3 linked regions of the Arabidopsis thaliana genome follow. The protein of the gene in region 3 interacts with the protein of the main gene of each other region in a biochemical or structural test. Each region holds a gene or a part of one and is shown on either strand. Other genes may lie near its edges. The genes, in order: AT1G08800, DCP1 and XIK.

Region 1 (9,067 bases), on a different chromosome or scaffold from region 3:
TTAAAAGTTCTTCCCTCTTCTTTAAGTCACCCATTAATTTCACATATATGTACATACATGTTGCATTTAACTCATATACATACATATTCTCACATCTATAAAGAGAGCATAAGACTCAGAGAGATCTAGAGGAAGAGAGAGAGAGAAAGATGGGTAGGCCTCCATGCTGTGACAAGATAGGGATCAAGAAAGGACCATGGACTCCTGAAGAAGATATCATTCTTGTTTCTTACATTCAAGAACATGGTCCTGGAAACTGGAGATCAGTTCCCACCAACACTGGTCATTATCTTTTCTCAACATGTTTTCTTCTAGTGTCTTTCTTTTCTTTGTTTGTATATGTGTCCTGATGTTTGTATCTTAATTTGGCTTTTAAAAGGGTTATTGAGATGCAGCAAAAGTTGTAGACTGAGATGGACAAATTATCTGAGACCTGGAATTAAACGTGGAAACTTTACTCCTCATGAAGAAGGAATGATCATTCACTTGCAAGCCTTATTGGGTAACAAGTAATCTCAGACAAAAGGATCTACATCTCTTTATACTTGAATGTTTTGTGTATATATTTTGATGATGTGAACCCTAAACTGGCTTATTTGTTTACATATGGTTGTGGTAAGATGGGCGTCCATAGCTTCATACCTACCACAAAGAACGGACAATGATATCAAGAACTACTGGAACACACATTTAAAGAAGAAGCTCAACAAGTCTGACAGTGATGAGAGGAGCAGATCAGAGAACATTGCGCTGCAAACTTCTTCGACAAGAAACACCATTAATCATAGATCTACCTATGCTTCAAGCACCGAAAACATTTCCCGCCTTCTTGAGGGTTGGATGAGAGCGTCTCCAAAGAGTAGTACAAGTACTACTTTCTTGGAACACAAAATGCAGAACCGGACAAACAATTTCATCGATCATCACAGCGATCAGTTTCCATACGAGCAGCTTCAAGGTTCTTGGGAAGAGGGTCATAGCAAAGGAATCAACGGGGATGATGACCAGGGTATAAAGAATTCAGAGAATAACAACGGTGATGATGTTCATCATGAAGATGGTGATCATGAGGATGATGATGATCATAATGCTACACCACCATTGACATTTATTGAGAAATGGCTTTTGGAGGAAACAAGTACTACTGGGGGTCAAATGGAAGAGATGAGCCACTTGATGGAGCTCTCTAATATGCTTTAATTGTGACATTTTCTCCTTTATTTTTTCTTTATCCTTGTGAATCTTATAAATGAGACTACTAATTTTATATACACAAATAAAGAAACCAGAAAGACATAATATCATGTGTTGTTTTTTGGTTTCTCTAAGATATAAGTAGCTAAAATGCTCACTGCATAAGTTGTAACTAATCTAAAGTTGTCTACCCATTTACATGAATAAAATCCAATTTAAGACTTGTAATACTATTCAAATTTCTTTTACAAATACATGATATCTATACTTCATCTTTAGAATCTACCAAGTCGAATCTACAAATTCAGGAAAATATCAATTCAAAGCTAATATGCATTAAACCCTCATGCTTAAGAATGGTGTAGGTCTAAGAGAGTTTTTGCTCGCAAATCACATCAATTCGAGAAACGTTAATGGGATGCGTTAATATATTTGGGAACTCGTGTTGCCTTTTAGTCCATAAAAACAAGATGAATGAGAGAAGTATTAAAAGCTTTATTCATACACAAAAATGTGTGATCTTTATATTTTAAGAAATGAGAAACAATAATGAATGGAGAAATGTAGGACCTCCATAACTAATTAAGGATTGATAAGTGTAAATGAAAGAGATGAAGCCAAACGTAACGATCACTTGAAAATGGCGTTAATATAATAAATATACACATTATCCTTGTTCCGTTTATCATTCTTCATGCAAAGTTATTAAATACATCCATGGCCCTTAATTATGACGTTTGAGCTCTTGGTAATGTAAGCAGTGGACAACCAAATAAAGCTATTGTTTACGGTTCCTAATCTAAATAATAATTAACAATCAAATGCAAGTCAAATATGAGCAACAAGAGAAGATGGAAGCACACAACACAGCCAAAACTTTTGGTGGGTTCTACTATTTTTTTCCGTCCAAAAAGGCAAAAACAGATACAAAAATTGAATACAAATCAAAAACAGTTAATTAAAAACTCAAATCTGATTATATTCATTCAACTACTCTAATAAAAAAAATATAATTTTTGTATTTTATTTTATTTTTCTTTTTGAAATAAAAAAAATAGTTCCCACACTCAAATTGCAACTTTCGGCAGCCGTTTTTGTAATCAGTAGCCGACTTTCCTGTCTCTCTCCACATCTCACCATCTTAGTTTTCAATCTTTTGCCTAACATTTTATAATTATTCGGAAAGGAAAATAAAACTAAGTGATTTAATTGTGAAGACTAATAATTATAAAATGTTATTTAAGGACTAGTAGTACCAATATTAAGACTTTTTTTTAAGTCTGTTATGTTAATCTTTTTGTTTTCCCTGGTTTGGTCAATAAAATAGATCTCTCTCATTCAATGTCTCTCACAAAGAATTTTATTAATTTTAAAATTAAGTGATTTTAGTTGTGAAGACTACGTGCAGTCCTTGCTGGGTCTGCCTTTTGAGTTTTTTAAAAATATATAAATGGGATCAATGTTCTCTGTGAAGCTCTCCCTCAAAAATCACAACTTTGCTAGATTTTGGATTTTCACTTTCTACTCTGTAATTGAGACTTACTCTGGCGATCATCATGATCAAAAGGTTAGATTTTTCTATAACAGCGCTTATATTTAGTTGGATCATATAAAATATTGTGGGTCTTGATCGTATGATTGATCCATTTAGTATTTCTTCTACACACAATTCTAATTCTGATTTTGTTGAGCTGTCAATTGTTCTTTTTAGATCTCTTTTCCTTTTTGTGGCAAACTTTTGATTTAGAGTGGTTTAAAATCTTTGTTGGAATTTATTTTTGCTTCAATTGCTGACTTGAGATAAATATTTGATCTTCCTGTACTCTGGAGATAAACACTATTAAGAAGGCTAAATAAAAACGTAAGCTTTATCTTGTTTTGGTCAACTTTTCTGTTCTTGCTTCTGTTTGTCCCAAATCTGCAAATATCATTTGTAAATCGGATTGGATTCTGGATATTAGTTGTCTTTTCTGCACGAATCAAGTTTGTTTCATTATCTCAAATCTCTTTATCAACTTTAGTCTCATTATATTTTCTGAGTAGAATCTTGATGTTATTGATTCAATATTTTTCTCATATTTTTGTACTCTTTACTAATTGTTTGATGTGTATCTACATTGATGCAGATTTGAAGCCTGATTGATTCTTGATCTTATGTTTCTGCAAAGAGTTGGCTACTAGACAAACGTCTGCAGTAAAATTACAGATGGGTTCACGGAGTTTCACTAGAGCTTTGGCATTAGCCTTTAATGAGTGGCTACTGATGTTCATGCTCTTCGTTAACTCCATATTCTCTTACGTGATCGCGAGGTTTGCAGATTACTCTGAGCTTCAATCTCCATGTCTGATGTGCTCAAATCTTGATCATATTCTCAGGAGGACAAAAGATTTGAAGAAAACTCATTGGGATATTATTTGCTCTAAACACAAATCAGAGATCTCTTCATTGGTTTACTGTCATGCTCACGGCAAGCTTGTTGATGTCCGTGGAATGTGTGAGACTTGTCTTTTCTCGTTTGCTACAACCAATAAGTCCAATGCTGAAACTTACAGATTGTTGGTTGGTAAACTGGGTGAAGATTCTCACTTCGGATCCAAGAGTGATCGAAGCAAATATCCAAATTGCTCTAAGCTTACAGATTGTACATGTTGTAATCAGTTGTGGACGCCTCAAACCGCTGCTACTCAGGTGGCTGAACGGGAAATTCTACCCAAGATTGGTTTGCTTGGTAAAATAAGAACCGGGAAGCAGTCTGCGCCCAAGAAAAGTGTCAGCTTCAATCATTTGCCTGATGTTGGGTACACTGAGCTAAAGATTCATTCAGATACTGAATCAGAGGCTGTGTTTTCAGATACTGAACCAAAGCAAGAATCTTCACTTAACCATTTGCCACCTGTTGGGTACAATGAGCCCAAGATTGGTTTGGTTGGTGATGTGAGAACCGGGAAACCATCTACACCCAAGAAGAGTGTCAGCTTTAATCATTTGCCTGATGTTGGGTACACTGAGCTCAAGATTCATTCAGATACTGAATCAGAAGCTGTATTCTCAGAAGATGAATGTGTCGTCCTTAAAGATGAGGATCATAAGTATCAAATAGTGGATCTTCAGACTCATCCGATTATCACCTTGCCTTATGATTTGGCTACCGACAAGCTGCTAAACTTTGATTTCCCTTTGGAGCCCTTCGTGACTCGAAATGACCGAGAGGAAGTTCAGTTGCAAGAGACCAATTGGAGGACTTATTCCTCATTTCCTGTGCTTATTCCAGTTAATGATGTGCCTGAAACATCAGAGAAGGTGTTCAAGGAGGAAGAGATCAATTCATTAGATAATCTTTTCTTAACATCACGCGCCATGAAACATTTTGCAGCTGCAAAGGTGAAAGAAGAGCCGATTCGCCTCCAAGATATTTCCTCAACACCAGATGTTAAGGAAAATCCTGCAAATGCCTCCTTGATGGAGGAGACTGAGCTTATTTGTCTCAGTGATGTTACTGCAACATCAGGCGCCATGGAACATTCTGAAGTTATTCTAAAGGAAAGAGAAGAACTGATTCACCTCCAAGATATTTCTGTAACACCAGATTTTAAGGAAAATCCTGCAAATGCCTCCTTATTGGAGGAGACTGAGCTTATCTGTCTCAATGATGTTACTTCACCATTACGCGCCGTGGAACATTCTGCAGTTCTTTTAAAGGATAAAGTAGAGCCGATTCGCCTCCAAGATGGTGGTTCTTTAACACCAGATTTTATGGAAAATTCTGCAAATGCCTCCATATTGGAAGAGACTGAGCTTATTTGCGTCAATGATGTTACTTCAACATCACGCACCATGGGACATTCTTCAGTTGTTTTAAAGGAGAATGAAGAGCCGATTCGCTTCCAAGATAGTTCTTTAACACCAGATTTTAAGGAAAATCCTGCAAGTACCTTCTTAGTGGAGGAGACTGAGCTTATCTGCCTCAATGATGTTACTTCACCATCACGCGCCATGGAACATTCCACAGTTTTTATAGAGGAGAAAGAAGAGCTGGTTCGCCACCAAAATATTACATTAACACAGGATTTTATGGAAAATCCGGCAAATTCCTCCTTAAGGGAAGAAACTGAGCTTATTTGCCTCAATGATGTTACTTCAACATCAGAGGTTGCTGAAACTCCTGAAGATGTCTTAGAGGGAATTGAACTTATGTCAATCCATGATATATCTCTAGACGAGGTTTCTGAATCAGTCACTACAAATCAAACCTCTGTTGAGATTTCAAAGGAGAGGGACACTGACCAAGCTGATATTACCTCTCTGGAATCTGAATATATAGTTGTACCATCTCCAAATTCCATGCCTGAAAATTCAACCGATAATTGTAAGTTTAAACTTCCATTTAAATGCAAGACTCTTATGTGTTTTCTTCTCCAGCTTTGCATGTATGATGGCTATGAACTGTAAATTAAAGATATATAGTGCTTAAATTATACACTAGTAGGTATGGGTTTCTGATAAAGAAAATGAATTTTCATATCAGGTGTATCAGATAAAAAGGAAATGAAAGAGACATCTCTTAGGATCTCTTCATTGTCTGAAATGGCTCCACGGGACGTCACTTCTCACACAGAAGCAGCTCTTGAGTCAGAATCTTCTTCCTTCAACTCAATGTCAGTGGCAGCAGAAACAAACCAATATTCAGGTGAATTACTGGATCTTGCAGATGCATACAATATCGTTGTAGGAAACGAAGGTCACTATGATAGTAATGGAAGACAACAAATAGAGAATTGGATGAAGAAAGATACGTCTAGAGTTAGCGAAGACCTTAAAGCACTTCTTACTCAAATATCAGCTTCTCGTGGGATAGAGTTTTTGTCACCTAGAGATGTAAGCCCCAAGATTTCTGTTAACAGTAGCGATCAAGAGACAAAGAACCTAGATCATGATATGCAGCTGCTACTTCAAAAGAGAATGCTTGAAAGGAACGAGAGTAACTTATCGTTGGAAGGAGTTTCTGTGACTGAAATCGAGGGTGAAAGTGAGGGTGATCGGTTGAAAAGACAGGTTGATTATGATAGGAAACTGCTGACTGGTTTATATAAAGAATTGGAGGAAGAAAGAAGCGCTTCAGCGGTTGCTACAAATCAAGCAATGGCTATGATAACGAGGTTGCAGGAAGAGAAGGCGTCATTCCAAATGGAGGCTTTGCAGAACCTGAGGATGATGGAGGAGCAAGCAGAGTACGATATGGAAGCAATACAGAGACTGAATGATTTACTTGTTGAGAGAGAAAAACTAATACAAGATTTAGAAGCTGAGATTGAATACTTCCGGGACCAGACCCCTCAGAAGAAGAATAAGCTAGATGTTGCAGAAAAAGTGACCGAGATGGATTCCCCTAGTGAGGGAATGAGCAACAAGATACAGAGTTGTTTAGTTGGGTTCGACGAAGAGAGATTATACATCACCAGTTGTCTGGAGAAGATTGAAAACAGAGTAAATGGCAAGGCTCATGACGATAATCTACCAGCACAAGAATCTGTTTCTGAGCTACATGAGAGAGTAGAAAGGCTGAAGGGAGACTTATACTTCCTAGAACAAGTTATGAATTCTCTTGGCCATGGAAATGAAGGCGTGCAATTTGTAAAGGAAATAGCTTCTCATTTGCAAACTCTGCGGAGTCTCAGCATGAAAAGACAAGATCAGACTGAGTGTTGATGTCCTGAGTAACAATCTTCACAAAGGTATGTTCTTTCCTCTTCCCTGATTGTTGTGTTGATTTTGTTCTTCAGATAACTTCACCTGCGGAAATTATAGCTCTTTGTACAAACATCTTATTATTCATATGTCGTTCTGGTTTTTTAATATGTTAGACACCTTTGTGGAGAGGATATTGTAGAGGAAACTAAAAGAAGTTCAAGATTCAAGAAGCTTAAAGAAACTGTATAGCATCGTCTTCATTGCCTTCCCCTTTCGTATACGATAATCTCAGAATTCTTTACGATTTCATTTTTGGGTTTGGTGTTCATAATTTCCTTATGGGTTTTCATATTCTTTGTGTTTATTTTGCATTTTTCTTCTAGTTTTGAGTGAAGAGTGAATGTAGGTTTTGTTCTGAAGTTCTCATTTGATTTTTTTTATTAGGTTGGTTGATACTTTTGTTTAGCATGTCAAAAGTCATGCAACTTTGTTAAACTTGTTGTACATTTCTTCGTTATAAACTACTTATACGTAATGTCCTTTGTTAAACTCATATTTCTTTGTTGGTGTTAGGACCTCGAATTTGGAAAATAACAAGAAGGTTGATACGCATAATACAAACTTACAAAAGACAATTAAAAGAGGAAGAGAAGCCAAAACCTAATATCTAAAATATTTTCTTACTGTTAAAGTAGTGATATCTAAAAAATTAAAAACTGTCTTTGGCGAAAAAAAAAAGGGTTCAAGAATAATAACATGTAAGACCACCATGCATCATTCTTATTTCTTCTTTTAGTTTGAACTTCAATAATCCGTCCTCCTCTGTCTTAACCAACTCCTTAATTAATCTGTCTTAAGCTTCCTTAATTTCTACAACACTTCCTTTGTCTCAACCAAATTTGTGTAGTATCATTCATGTCCCACTCTTGTACATCTCTCACTTCTATGCTTAATTGGAAGATTGTATCACAGAACATGCCACAGCTTGTGCCCAATGCCTCAGTCTCGTTTTAACCTGTTGAGGATCATCTCCTGCAAATTTATAGAATATAACATCAAAACACAATCATATTATGAAAATATCAATCTGACGAAAAAGTTTAGGTTGCTATGTTACCTGGAGACATAACCTTCAAAGAATCAGAGTCGCTTATTGGACTACCAAAAGAGGAAGATCGGTCTCCGAGGGAAGTAGGACGGGAGGATGAAGAAGATCCACCACTGCCTGGTGTAGAAACCGGCGAGATCTGACGAGTCACAGCGAAGTAAAGGTCCAATGCAGGCAATGTAGTTGTAAGATGTTGCCCTTGCTCCTCGTTAAACCCGAACCCTAACTCAATAGATCCTTTGAGCTCACTCAAGTCCTCGTCCGTCAAGTCATCTCCTCCTTCGTTATGCTTCTCAAGGTGATGGAGCATCTGGCGACGGCGACGCTCCCATGCGATGTCTCTACGGGTCTCTAACATGGAGAGTTGCTTCGAGAGACGTTTCTTAGCCTTAGCTTTCGGTGGTTCCAATGGCATCTTTTGAAGCTCTTCTACTTCGCTGTCGTAGAAAGATGACGACGATGAGGTTGATACACTCAATGCTTCTCCAACCCTCACCATCTTTCTCTGTTGTTAATATAAGAAATCGCAGGCACGTTTATGATTATCAACAAGGGGCAGAATATTTTTGTGATGATGTGCCTTGTTGTACAAGTTAGCTCATGTAAGCGAGGAAAAACAGAAGAACTTGAATAGATTAGTGAAAATCCCAGAACTCTGATTCCCTTTAAAAAATGTTCATCCCGGAAGAAGAAAAGGGGTAAGAAGTTTTTTCTGTTTGGTTTATTTTATTAATGTACAGAAGGAGATATGTTTTCTGGTGAACTTTAATGGTGTGATATTACAAAACACAGAAACAATGAGTTTCTTCTACCACACATTTGGTGTTGTTTAAAAGTAGGGTTTGTAGAATTTCCATTTGCCATTTTTAAAGGGATCTCTCTGTTAATTCCCTGGGGAGATTCTGGAGCTTGATTGATTATGGAGACAGAATCCAAAAACAAACCTTGGTGGTTTTTGTTGGAATAACTAACTCTTACTTGATATAGGTTTTGTTCTAGAAATTTTTGGTGTTGTTGTTGGTCGAAACATATTACTAACACTTGCAACTAACAAGATGGTATAACCACTAAACTAG
Region 2 (6,594 bases), on a different chromosome or scaffold from region 3:
ATAAAAATCTATTTCTTGTGTTTGTGTTGTATTTACTTAAAAAAATAAAGGAGATCAGTTTGGGAGAAAGCAGCAAAGAAGAAAAATGGCAGCAACATTTGCAACACCATCGACGGTGATAGGCCTCGGAGGATCATCCATCACCACCAAACCCTTCTCTTCATGTACTCTTTTTCTCTCTTTCTCTTTTCGAATAATTTCAATCAAACATATATATGCATATGATAATCTTGATTTGTGATTTCTCGTATGTTTTTTAGCCTTTTTAAAACCAACATTAAGCGCCAAGAACCCTTTGAGACTCGCCGGTGCATCGGGAGGAAGAGTCACTTGGTAGGTTACTCTTTATTTTCTTCTCATAGTAATAACAAAGATATCACATTTTATGAAAATGCTTAAAACTCCAGAAGTATCACTAGTTATGTTACTTAAGATATAGGAATGAGTCCTAACTGATCTTAGGAACTTAATAAAGCTTGTTTTAATTTTGAGGTGCTTTTTAGGGTATTTTCTAATAAATTTATTTGTTTGTGTCAAAAATGAATTAAAGCTTTGAGAGGAACTGGTTGAGGAGAGATTTGAACGTGGTAGGATTTGGGCTGATCGGATGGCTAGCTCCGTCGAGCATTCCAGCGATAAATGGGAAGAGCCTGACGGGTCTCTTCTTCGATAGCATCGGAACTGAGCTCGCTCACTTCCCGACTCCTCCAGCTCTCACTTCACAGTTCTGGTTGTGGTTGGTTACGTGGCACTTAGGCCTCTTCCTCTGCCTCACTTTCGGACAAATCGGATTCAAGGGCAGGACTGAAGATTACTTCTAAGGATAACTATTCTTGTTTTCGTTTGTACTATATGCTCTCTCTTGGTTATGTGTAATATTATCAATCAAAACAAAGCTTTCTTTGCTATTTGATGTTTCATTCTATATCTCGACAAGTCTTTCTTATATGATCTTGATTTTAAGAATGTCTGTCAGTCTAACTAAAGTATTAAATGTTAAAAGCGTTTCTCGAGGGAAAGCTCACAAAAGATTGGGATAATACTTCAAAACGAAACATCACAATACGTCTTTGACTTGAACCATACAAACAGTTTTTGTCTTGCAATCTCGAATCTTTTAAAAAATAGAAAAATTATCTCTCTTTCTTCTTACTCTTTCATGTTTTTTGTATTAATCTTGATGTGTATATGTTCCAATAAACTCTAAACATGCATGAAGATTTGTGAATCTAAAGTCTTTAACATGTCTTTCGACTACGAAACAAAAATTGATGAGGAAAGGTAAAAACTTGAAAGTAGATAAAATGAAAAAGTAATTCCAAGAGTTAAACAAAGGGGGCAGTGCAGTATCTTATAAGGTTCCAACAACACTTTCAGAGGGAACAAAACTACATTTTAACTACACATTCTAGATCAAACAGCCACTATCCCACACGTAGATGCTGACCAGCGCAGCTTCATTGTTGAAGTGCATTTTGTAAAGTTCGGGTAATCTTGTCAATGAATTCATCCTCCTGTCAAAAGCAACTCGTTAGGTTTGCACAGCAGCTCAAATAAAGTGATGTGGTAAAGGACGAACCTGCAACAGGGATAAAAGGGCTTCCTTCACTTTGTCTCTGCTGATAACCGGACCAGTGGGTGCAGGAGCGAGTGATGGTGGTGGAGTTGGGGGTGGGAAAGGCTGGAGCACCGGAGTACCATATGACCGCTGCTGGTGACTCGCATTATTAGGATTGAGAGGAGGAGCAGTGGGCATAGATACACCAGGAATGAGGTGTGGCTGTGCCATCATTCGTGGGGGGCCAAAGAAAGACGGCGTCACCAAATCTGTGTGAATGTTGGAGTTGCTGCTGATAACTTCAGGGTTGTTGTCAAAGAGAGTCATCAGAGGAGAGGAGGATTGTAGAGGCGGTGGTGATTGTATCTGTGGAGGTGCTGCTGCCGCTACAGGAGGAGCAATGGTGGGTTGGTGAGGCTGGTGAGGTTGGTGAGGAATCGCTGATGATTGGTAAGGTCCACTTGCTGACCCACTCGCAGTGTTCCCAAGATTCATCGTTGACTGTCAACAATTTAGATAAATTCAGTGTTACAATTTGAGGAGTCTAAGTTGGACCATATACTACGCTGAAGATAATTCAAGAACCTAGAAGGCTAGAACTAATAGAAAGCCCTCCTGCCATTAGTCGTATAAGATGCTGTCATGGTGAAGATGATAGTGTGAGTGTGTAACAGAAGCTTTAGAAACTTACGCTAAAGAAGTTGACAAAAGCAGGATCATCAGGGGCATCCCTAGCAGTTGATGATGGTTCAAGAGGACCATCCATAACTGCCATTGTAGGCTTAGCTTCCAATTCCTCAAACTCACTGCAGTACATAGAAAATCTAACTTAATTTAACAAGTAAGAGATATAACAGCGGGAAAAATGATTTAGATTATCAAGTTTCCACCTCAAAGAAAACACATCCAAGAAACAACTAATGGTGTACTAACTAAATCTAATCATGAAAATATTACCTCTTTGAAGATGAGGCCTTTGGCTTCTGGTTAACCTTGGAATATGCACTGAGTATTCTGTCATGCCAAGGAACCATTAGGCAGAGATACAACGAGTAAGAGTAATTTCAAGTTCATACAAATATACAAGAACATTATATTTGCCAACAAGTAACTGTCTGATAATAGGCAAATAAAAGACGATATTGATATTATTCATGATCCAACAATTGAAACCAACAGTTTCTACCTGATATGCAGTGACTTATATATACATACCTGTTGAAAAGAGTTGCTACCTCCTCGCATTCACGTTTATTGTAGAACCAAATGCCATTTACTTCTTGAGATGCATTACGGTAAAGTAAATATGGACCTTGTACTTCATACTCAAAATCTCCCAGGAGATTCTCCACCAGATTATCTATCCAGACAAATACAGCAACACACTGATGATTACTAATACTGAATCCTTAAATAAGAACTTGCAATATATTACTAAATCTAAACCTTTTCTAGACACATGACACACACCAACTTTATTTGAATAAATCCTGACCTGTATTACGACGATTCATCACAATAAACTGAAATCGAGGTTGTGTACTTCTGAAAGAAACAAAAAAAAGGATCCAATCAGATTTGAGAAGACGATTAAAGATAAGATACACATAGTTAAAGATCGAAAGTAGTAACCTTTTGACAACAAACAAAGATCCTTCAACGTCCTTACGACTCTGAATGACAAAAGACAGATCAATCATTAGGTAGGGAAGCAAACATCAAATTATGTAATCGAAGATTGATTGAGACTAACCCATTGGCTGAGCTCAATGTTGAATTCATAGAAAGTGACATGAGCGGCTGTGATGAGGATTTCCTCGATGTATGGATCGATCCGCTGGAGAACTGTGAGATTGAGGAGCCTCGTACTGTTTTGGTCCAGATTTGGGATTATCTTCCCGTTTTGAGACATCTTTTATAAATCAAAGATCAGAATTTTGGGAAATCTGGATTCGATTTTACCCTAATCGGAAGAACCCTAGAATTCTGATTTAAGGTAGCTGAGAGATTTGGGGACGGAGACGAAAACGCTAACTTTTGGAACGCACTTCGCTATTTTGTTGTCTGCTTTGGCAAAAAAAAATGGTAATTTAGTTATAAAACTTAAGAGAATAAATATACTGACCATAAAAGCATTAGAGTTTGCTTCAAAAATACATCATTAGAGCTTGCTTAAGAGATTATAAACAACATTAAAGAAGAATATTTATTCAATTGGAGTATAATCAGTGGGTTGATCCTTTTAATTCAAAGATCAATTACTGCATAGTCAATAGAATTTGGTTATGGAACAGTCCACGAGGACAATTTTCAAATTGAAAACGAAAATTTCTGTTTTTATTCACATCTGTGGATTGATTCGTCTTTGAAATAAGCACATCTAATTCAAAGATAATATAAGCTACAAAATCCATTAACCAAAATCACTGCAGTTATTTCAAATTATCCAAACCAAAAGCTAAAGAGGAGAGTAGCAGCACAACTCTTACACTGTTTAACAGATATGTCTGAAACAAAAACGAAAGGGTAAGAAGAAGTGTCTTATAGCCACCAATTTTAAGTAGGTGAAAGCTCAGAAGATTCTTTGTGGTGGTCCCATTGTGCTCTTGAGGTACAAACACCTGACATTTTGCCAGTTCTTCTTCAATAGCGAGACGAGGAAGTTGACGCTCATCTGCACATTCTGAAAGATCTGCTTCTCTTCCATTGAAAGGTTACCAACTGCAACTCCCATGCACAGAACCTTCTTCAGCTGGAACTTCACTGTTGCCTTTGTTTCATTCACCTTTGACTCCAAGGATTCCTGGTGGCTCACAAGAGTTGGGAATTTTCCTGTGTAAAGTAAAGCAAAGGAATGTTACTTAAGAATCATCAAAGAAGCATAATCTCACAGGATAAAGGATTGGCATTGTATCAAAAAGACATTGACAAAAGAAATAGACTACTAAAACCTATCCAAAATCAAAACGGATGTAAAGAAGAACAATGGAATATTAGCTGTAGCCAGAACTTGCCTGCCTTGTTAAGACCAGGACCAAGAAGACGAGGAATCTGCTTAATGACAGACTCAGAGGCCAAGAAAGCATGGTATTTCTTTGCAAGCTTCTTGACGAGTTTCTTGTTCTTGTTAAGCTTTTTTAGAGACTCAACATCCATGTTTTCCAACCCCATCTTCTCAGCCTACGAAAAGATACAAGATGAAATAAGCAAATATTTAATTATGCAAGAAATGAAGCCTAAATAAACAATGACCAAATTCCGAAAACATCATGCATCTACATTCAGAAGACATATACAACATCAAATGAAACTAATAGAGCCACCAAATGAAATGAGCACAAAACCATTATACAAGAAACAGAGCACAAAATGATCAATTTCCATGAAAAGATATATCACCTCTTCAACATGCTGGGCATCTCCGAGCATGCAGATCTTCATTTTAGGACGGGGGATATGTGGTAACTTGACAGATCCACTGAAACGCTTGTCCTTTTGAGGGTCATAGTTCTTCAGACCGATCTGGAGCTCAATAGTCTCGACAAAGTTACGTTTCTTTGCCTCGGATTTCCCTGTGATAGTAGTGATGGCTTCACGAACGGCCTCACTCTGAAGCTTACTGTATTAACCCACAAAGAACAGAGTTAAGCAAATTAACTAAACAAACAAAAATACACAACATTGACAACCTCAACATGAACAACCCACATTATAGACACTACCATACAAAATAATCTTATCTTAATACACCTAAATTTTTATGAGGCAAGATTTAGATTTGTCATCCAAATTTAGAGGCCTTAGTAAAGAGCATTTATGCAAAACTGCAGAACAACTTCGTGTCAATCCTAGACTATTAACATCATAAAGCTATCAATAACGCACATCCAAAAAACAATCACGATTCAGAGACGTATTGTTCTCTAATTAAACTTATTGCATATGACAGAAGAACAATACGTCTCTGAATCACGATTCAGAGACGTATTGTTCTCTAATTAAACAGTGAATGTAAGAGATGCGTCAAGTACCTCATTTTGAGCTTGTCTCAATTTAGCTAAGATCTGATCCTGGAAACGAAACAAAGACAACAAAAAAAAGAATCAAAATCTATAGCAGAAGCTCGAGAAACAAGAATAATCTAATGTACAGTATACATATAAACGAAGAAGAAGAATCAAGCTAGAAGTGAAGCAGTCGTTGAGGCACAAACCTGAGTGACGAGACAGACAGAAGAAACCCTAAATTTCTCGAAAGGCGAAGCCTTTATAGTAAGGATAATGATCAAATAAACTAAACCTAAATGAAATTGGGCCTTTAGAGATAAGGAAAAGCCCAAACTGAAATCAAATGGGCAGCTGAAAACGTGAGACCAACAAAACCAAAAATTACTTGAGCGATCTAACATCCGACTACCGTCTTGGAGACTTTTCTGATGATGGTCTAGTCAAAACCACTCAGTTCGGCTTAAGCCATTCAGGTTTGACTTTGTGCCTCTACGACGTCGTCTTGTGACTTTGTGTTCTCTCTAGCTATGGAATTTTTTTCTTCTTGAGCTGTTGTTAGATTAAGATTTTAGAAGATGACTGCTTCTGGAGCTCTTCTTGTTGCACATATTGATTCGTTTCTTTTGGAACCCAGCAGAAGAAGAGTGCCAATTCATGGCGCAATTTCTGCTTACTGTACTACAAGTCCTACTTGCATTGACCTTCTGGATCGGAATCGGATCAGGCTCGTCGAACCATTATAATGCCGGCGATCATGTCCCTTTGTTCGTCAACAAAGTGGGTCCTCTCCACAATCCGAGGTTGTTCTCAAATTCAAATCTTTTGGTAATTCTTATGCATTTTGCTTTTTATTGGCTTATGATGACGGGTGAGTAATCTAAGAGGAGGAGATCAAGTTAGAGAATGTGTAAGATATGTTTTTGTTCTAGCTTTAGTTTGACCATGGAACTCAAAGATGGCACATTTTCTTAAACCCCATTTTAAAGTTTGGTGTTTTGTTTTGTTTGCAGTGAGACCTATCAATACTAT
Region 3 (6,331 bases):
TTACACGTTTTATCAATGCATCTTCCATTTTCTTTGCATCACACCTTTTGAAAGAAGTGAGTCCACGATCAAAGATGTAAAAAGGAAACAAAATAGAAATCGAGATTAAACAAGTAAGTTGCACATACCTAAGAAGTTCAGCACATACATCAAGATGATATCTTGATTTCTCATCCTTCAAAACTGAGGAGTCAATCTCTTTTCCTTTTGCAAAATTGACATTACCTAGATGAAGGATTGCAGCAACAACTCTAAATATTGCATCCTGATAGCAATTATCAGAATGGTCAATAAGATGCTCTACCAGAGAAATCATTTCTTGTTGGAAAAGGAGTAAATGGAAGACTGACCTGTTCCTCTTCACTGATGCCAACAATATCCATAGCTCGTCGGGTAGCAAGATACTCCTCGGTGTCATCCACTCCATCCAGTTTATAGCACTTCGATTGATTTAGGTAGTGGAATAACTTAGGATCTCCCAACTTGAACTTTTCTCTTTCCTACAGATTGGGAAAATAAATGAAATCCACAACCACTTAATCATGTGATTTAAAGCAGAACGCCTAACAATAAGGTATATTGGCATCATTGTGTAGCACCAATACCTCAGGTGGGGCAGCACATAAAAGGTAAAAGCAGTGGTAATTTCTTTCAGGATCTGATATTTGACACACTCGAGACCTTTCCAACAAATATGTTCGCACAGCTGCTCCAGATATTCTCCCACAGTTGTCAAACTGAAGCTCGACAAACTTTCCAAATCGACTGCATTTTGATTGAAAATAAAAGTTACAATGAGGATATCTGCCTTGAAGCTTAAAATAACTCTATAGTACAATAATCAATCACGTACAAAAGTATTACTATTGAGTTGATTACTCTCTAACTTTACCGATAAAAAAGGCCAAGAGATTAGCATAGTTTATATGTGATTAATTTTTCTTATGTACCATCAGTGCAGTTGATGCCTTGGGGTTTGTTATATAGTTAGAAAACAAAATTGTGACAAGTGGTGACTGAGGAAGCTTTGAGCCAAAAACAACTTTGACTGTGCAACTAATGACAACTTTTCAAGAGAAAGATCCAAAGGAAAACCTCTAAGTGAACATACGCATACGTACCTGGAGTTGTTATTCCTGAGAGTTTTAGCGTTGCCAAAAGCTTCAAGAACTGGATTTGACTGTATACCATCAATAAAACCAAAATAGTGAATCAGGCTAGCATTACAAGCCTCTCTATAAACATATCAATGCAGTAACTAAAAGTATCTGTGTAAAGGCTTAGACTCTTCTCCATGACAAGCTTCAAAGCCAAGATAAAAGAAACATATTTTTTTGAAGCCTCACCTCCAGAACTTGCTGTTCCACTGTCCTTCCTTCAACGCCGGATCGACCACCAAGGTAAGCAAGGTAGCGCATAAGCATCTTTGTTGTCTCAGTCTTACCAGCACCACTTTCCCCACTTACCAGAATTGAGTTGCTCTTGCCCTCATTTATCATTGCCCTACCCAGAGAAGCAAAAGAGAATAGACTAGCATGAGAAATGTATGAATAAAGAGTGACTACGAGAATTTCTGCTAGTGGATCATTGATTGGGATTAATAACCTGTAAGCAACTTCTGCAATGGCAAACACATGGGGGCTTAGTTCCCCAAAGCCTGCTCCTTTGTACTGCTCCATCATATGAGTATCATAGAGATGTGGTAACCTTTGAAACGGATTTACAGCAATCAAGATGTTACCAGTATATGTCTGCGAACATATTTTAACGGAAATATTTAGGAATGTTTTCTACTGCTTAGGAACTCAGTAAGTGATTTCATAAGTAATCAGTGCAGAAAATGAATAACAACTTACATAAATTTCGTTCAACTCATATCTCATGGCCAAGTTATTCAAAACACCTGGTTCATGTAAATATGAGAGCTTTGTCATGTCATCAACACCCCCAGGGGGAGCCTCTGTATCCTTTGGAAATACGTTTGCGATATTGGCCACAACCTGAAATTAAATTTGATTGATTGATTGATACATAATCTGGTTTCAATGATTGTATAATATAATTATGAAATAGGGATGTCAATGTCATGCAAAACTCATATGTTAGAGGAGTAACACGGTATCCACAGGGAAAGGGGTTAGAGGACTAGTGACATTTTGTTCAAAGTTAAACAGACACCCTAAGCAGAAACACCCTATTCATTCCAGTGACATTATTTCTCAAAAGGAAATTTACATGCAAAAGCATGGGAGGAGGATAGACAACTTACGGTCTTCCCATTTGTGGTATGTGCATGAACTTCTTCGCCATTAATTTTGACAACTTCACCATCAATCCATGCCGCTCCAGGATCTTCAATCCAAACATGAGAACCAACTATTATATTGACTGGGCCAACCTACAAAAGATACAAATATTGAAGACGTGAGGTACAAAGATTTTAATAACCTCACACAAGCTGTTACATAAGTTCCTCTTTCAAATACCAAATATCATCAGTTCAAGCAGTTGAAATAGATGGCACCAGACATACGAACCTAAACCGAAAGTAACTAATGTTATAGATTAAAATTTCCCGCAAAACCAGGACAATAACACTGCCTATAATCTAGAGACAACACTCACTTAGAAACACAACAAAGATAGCATAACACTGCGCATTTCCCTCAGTTTCCTTCATTCTGGAAACTAAATCTTCAGCCTTTATATCAAATAAAACTTAGGTATATAAAAAAAAAATGGTCTCACCTGAAGAAGTTTCCTGATGAAACATATATATAAAGGGACAGTAATCTAACATAGAAGCTTACATAACCTCGTTACTAATAATAGAAGTAATCCAAAATGGTGAGAGCCGCTAAGTGAAATGTTAATAGGAAATGATAAGTCCACGAAATGAAATTTAAGATAACTGAAATGGTCCAACTTCAACTTGTTATAGAACTCTTGACCCTTACCTTTCAATAACACTGTATAATGTTCCCCAAAATAACAAAATTCAACTTTTCTACTATAGTTGGATTGAGAATCTCTCGTGTTAATGGGAAGACGAACTAGGGATCGAAAACAAAACGCAAACCTCATACAAAGATATCTCTACTAACGAACACCAAATCGGACAAGTGTTAAAAATGAATCCGTTTAATTGATTTAAATCCAACATAAACCCATTTGAGAAAATACAATAAGCAATTGAATAAAACGACGAGGATGATGATATCTATGATTTTACCATGGCTACTCCTTTTTTTCCAATAGATCCTCTCTCTTTTTCCCAGTTAACTCATCCAAGAGAGACCGATTTTGCAGAAAGCTGACTCAGCGAGTCAGGCAACAAGACGAGTCAGATCGGGCAGATTCTCTCGAGTTGGTGTGTCTGAGAAAAATTCTCCTTGAAGTCAGCTCAAAGCAGACACGGAGAAATCGGGAGATCGGAATTAACGGAGCCAAAATTCTTTTCAAAAAGCTGAATCTGAATGAATTTTTTAATCTCTCTCAAGAAAGCTGATTGATTGTTGAAGAAGCAGAATGAAAGAAAGCTAGACTTGGCCTTCTTCTTTCTTTGCAGACGACGTTCTCTAATGGCTTTTTTTTTTGTTTTTCTCTCTCCTCGAGCAACAACAATGTTCTCTTTTGAGCTGTGTGTCTTTCTCTCTCTAACACTTTTTTTTCTTAATTATTATTTGTGTATTGTTTTCAAACAAAAAAAATGTTGGTGCTTGAGAATTGAGATTGGTCAAGTGGGGTCCAATGAGGAGAAGGGAGGTGGATCGAGTTGGACATTCACATTCGTGGTCAGCCACCCACAACACTCTTTGAGTCTACACACAGACAACAACAAAGATTGTTTCGTAAATAAAAAAAACATTACTACATCTTTTGTTTTTGTCTCTGCCCTTTGAATTGCTCATTTTTACACTTTTATCCCCTTTTTTGTTTTAATTAAGACTAGTAAATTATGGCTAATTTGTCTTCGTTAGTGGATTGGTTAGATGTGGAAATATTTTAAAATTCTTACGAGCGTTTCTGTTTTTGAAATTCTCTTTTATAAAAAATATAGGATATAACTTGTGAAGAATGTTTACAAATGATTTGACTCATATATTCAAAATTGATGTGACACAAATATTAATTTTAGGTTTTGGGATGATGTATGATTTTCTTAGTTTAGCGGAAATCAAATTGAACCCGCAAGATAGTGTTAAGACGTCTAATACCAGCTTTGGTCATGTCATTATCATTATCATCCTTTATACTCCAAAAATGTTCTATGTTTTTGAAGCCCAGTAAAAAATAATTGTTTTTGTTAAGTTCACCCAATTTATGTAATAGTGGTTGGGCTGAAACAATAACCTTGATTTTGGGCTTTAATACGACCCTTATTTAGATGGGCCGGGTTAAACCGTACCCGCCACAACACACCTACACCTACTTTCCACAGTATCGATCCTGCAAGTCATCGTCTTCAATTGGCATCTGAAGAAGAAGAAGAAGAAGAAAGGAGCCATGACAATGTTTAGATCTATCTCCATGGTAATGCTGCTCGTCGCACTAGTTACATTCATTTCTATGGTTTCTTCTGCTGCTTCGTCCCCAGAAGCCGACTTTGTTAAGAAGACTATCTCTTCCCATAAGATCGTCATTTTCTCCAAATCCTACTGCCCGTATGTCTCTTTCTCTGCTCATGTTTAATCACTTTTTATCCGATTCGCAGAAAAATTGGATCTTGGGTGACTTCAATTTGCGATTTTGTTTTTTAGATCTTAATATCTGAAATATGAGTGAAAACTTGAACCCAATGAACTTGTATTCGTTAGATTTGGATTTTTATGAGACAACTTTGTTATCTCTGTTTACAAATGGTGGTTGAAATCAATATGGATTTTCGTTTAAGATATATTCAGGTTCAGTTCTCAGTATTTGTTCTCTTTGCTTTTCCTTTGGCCTTAATTGAGTTGTGTAGAGAGATCATGTACCTATGTATATGACTCATCTCTACTTTTCCTTTGCTTCCTTGTGGTTTGGTCAACAGCTACTGCAAGAAAGCTAAATCAGTGTTCAGAGAGCTGGATCAAGTTCCTTATGTTGTCGAGCTTGATGAAAGAGGTGTGTTTTAAGGTTAAAGGGAATCATGTCTTCATCATCCAACAATGTTTCTTAGCTCTCAGACATTTCTGTCATTTGAAACTTTGTCCGATCACTATGTAGAAGATTCATTTGTGACTAATGGTTGGTAAAAATTTGGTCTTGCAGAAGATGGTTGGAGCATCCAGACTGCACTTGGAGAGATTGTTGGAAGGCGAACAGTACCGCAAGTCTTCATTAACGGAAAACATCTCGGAGGATCAGATGGTATACTTAACACTCCTTTTCCTTCAACAAAACGTCTTTGCTTATGCCAACATTTGCTGATCGATAGATTTATCTTTGTTTCTGGTTATAGATACCGTAGATGCGTATGAGAGCGGTGAACTCGCCAAGCTTCTTGGTGTTTCCGGGAACAAAGAAGCTGAACTCTAGGTTATATATAGTTGGAAGAATTGATAACACTCTCTGTGATGCTTAGGTGTAAGCAATTCAATTTCCATTTGTATTGTGTTCTGCAGCTTGATCATGACCTTGTGACAGCTTGATCTTGCCTTTTAAACGTATCTTATCAAAGACCACATTCTGAGTTATACAAATTGGGTTGAGGAATCAAATCTGGACATGCTACAAATAACTTATCTGAACAACACACAAACTTTAAGTGCATTGTACTGTTTGGGGGATAAATAGAGAGTAGCTAAGACTAGTGGAAATAAAACAAAATAGATAGTAGCTAAGATTAGTGGAAATAAAACATCTAGGGTCGTGCTCTTTTGTTGCTGCAAGTAGGGCACTTGTAATGCTTGATATGCTCCGCTCTAGCTGGAGTGATCTTCACACACTCCCCGTGGAACCATTTCTCGCACATGTCACAGCAAATCCAGAATTCATCAGAAGCATAGTTATCTCCACATGCTCCACATAGGGTTTCACCGTGTTCGTCTTCATCCTCATCCTCTTCCTCTTCCCCTTCTTCTAACTCTAATCCTTCTTCCTCATCCTTGGCATGTATCGTCTTTGAACTTTTACTTTCTAAACCTCTCTGCATTCCAGATCAAGAAATGTATTAACTACACCAAAATAGCAGAGAGTAAACTATAAAAAGTAATCAACAAGTGTCACTGGAGCGGTAAGCTTGTGATAAATTGGCCATTTCATTGCATACTGATACAGTAATTCCAGACCTGCCGCTTAGATGATTGCAACTAAAGATACATCTTTGTGCTGCCTGAAACTTAAGAGG

What was found.
Region 1: the proteins of XIK (region 3) and AT1G08800 form a complex in vitro, tested with the Arabidopsis thaliana proteins (one study listed by BioGRID).
Region 2: the proteins of XIK (region 3) and DCP1 form a complex in vitro, tested with the Arabidopsis thaliana proteins (one study listed by BioGRID).

What each region holds. Positions count from the first base shown.
Region 1 is NC_003070.9:2,811,412-2,820,478, reverse strand, and holds AT1G08800 (myosin-binding protein (Protein of unknown function, DUF593)), read left to right. Parts: upstream 1-2,407; 5' UTR 2,408-2,761; intron 2,762-2,839; exon of another isoform or gene 2,840-3,055; intron 3,056-3,320; 5' UTR 3,321-3,400; coding exon 3,401-5,561; intron 5,562-5,720; coding exon 5,721-6,901; 3' UTR 6,902-7,661; downstream 7,662-9,067. Other genes in the region: MYB60 (myb domain protein 60), read left to right, coding at 150-282, 380-509, 621-1,200; AT1G08790 (1-phosphatidylinositol-4,5-bisphosphate phosphodiesterase epsilon-1, putative (DUF1685)), read right to left, coding at 7,833-7,915, 8,001-8,490. UniProt on the Arabidopsis thaliana protein: Membrane-anchored myosin receptors that define a distinct, plant-specific transport vesicle compartment.
Region 2 is NC_003070.9:2,635,231-2,641,824, reverse strand, and holds DCP1 (decapping 1), read right to left. Parts: upstream 3,789-6,594; 5' UTR 3,471-3,788; coding exon 3,312-3,470; intron 3,232-3,311; coding exon 3,191-3,231; intron 3,104-3,190; coding exon 3,054-3,103; intron 2,919-3,053; coding exon 2,774-2,918; intron 2,573-2,773; coding exon 2,516-2,572; intron 2,365-2,515; coding exon 2,250-2,364; intron 2,060-2,249; coding exon 1,580-2,059; intron 1,515-1,579; coding exon 1,458-1,514; 3' UTR 1,162-1,457; downstream 1-1,161. Other genes in the region: PSAO (photosystem I subunit O), read left to right, coding at 86-164, 261-333, 551-821; AT1G08360 (Ribosomal protein L1p/L10e family), read right to left, coding at 4,131-4,390, 4,573-4,738, 4,958-5,177, 5,590-5,594; AT1G08350 (Endomembrane protein 70 protein family), read left to right, coding at 6,220-6,365, 6,576-6,594.
Region 3 is NC_003076.8:6,934,146-6,940,476, forward strand, and holds the start of XIK (myosin family protein with Dil), read right to left. Parts: upstream 3,686-6,331; 5' UTR 3,236-3,685; coding exon 3,233-3,235; intron 2,420-3,232; exon of another isoform or gene 2,399-2,419; coding exon 2,270-2,398; intron 2,001-2,269; coding exon 1,857-2,000; intron 1,752-1,856; coding exon 1,606-1,751; intron 1,504-1,605; coding exon 1,347-1,503; intron 1,181-1,346; coding exon 1,122-1,180; intron 766-1,121; coding exon 606-765; intron 501-605; coding exon 351-500; intron 266-350; coding exon 129-265; intron 45-128; coding exon 1-44. Other genes in the region: AT5G20500 (Glutaredoxin family protein), read left to right, coding at 4,507-4,664, 5,033-5,106, 5,254-5,352, 5,444-5,520; AL5 (alfin-like 5), read right to left, coding at 5,846-6,130. UniProt on the Arabidopsis thaliana protein: Myosin heavy chain that is required for the cell cycle-regulated transport of various organelles and proteins for their segregation.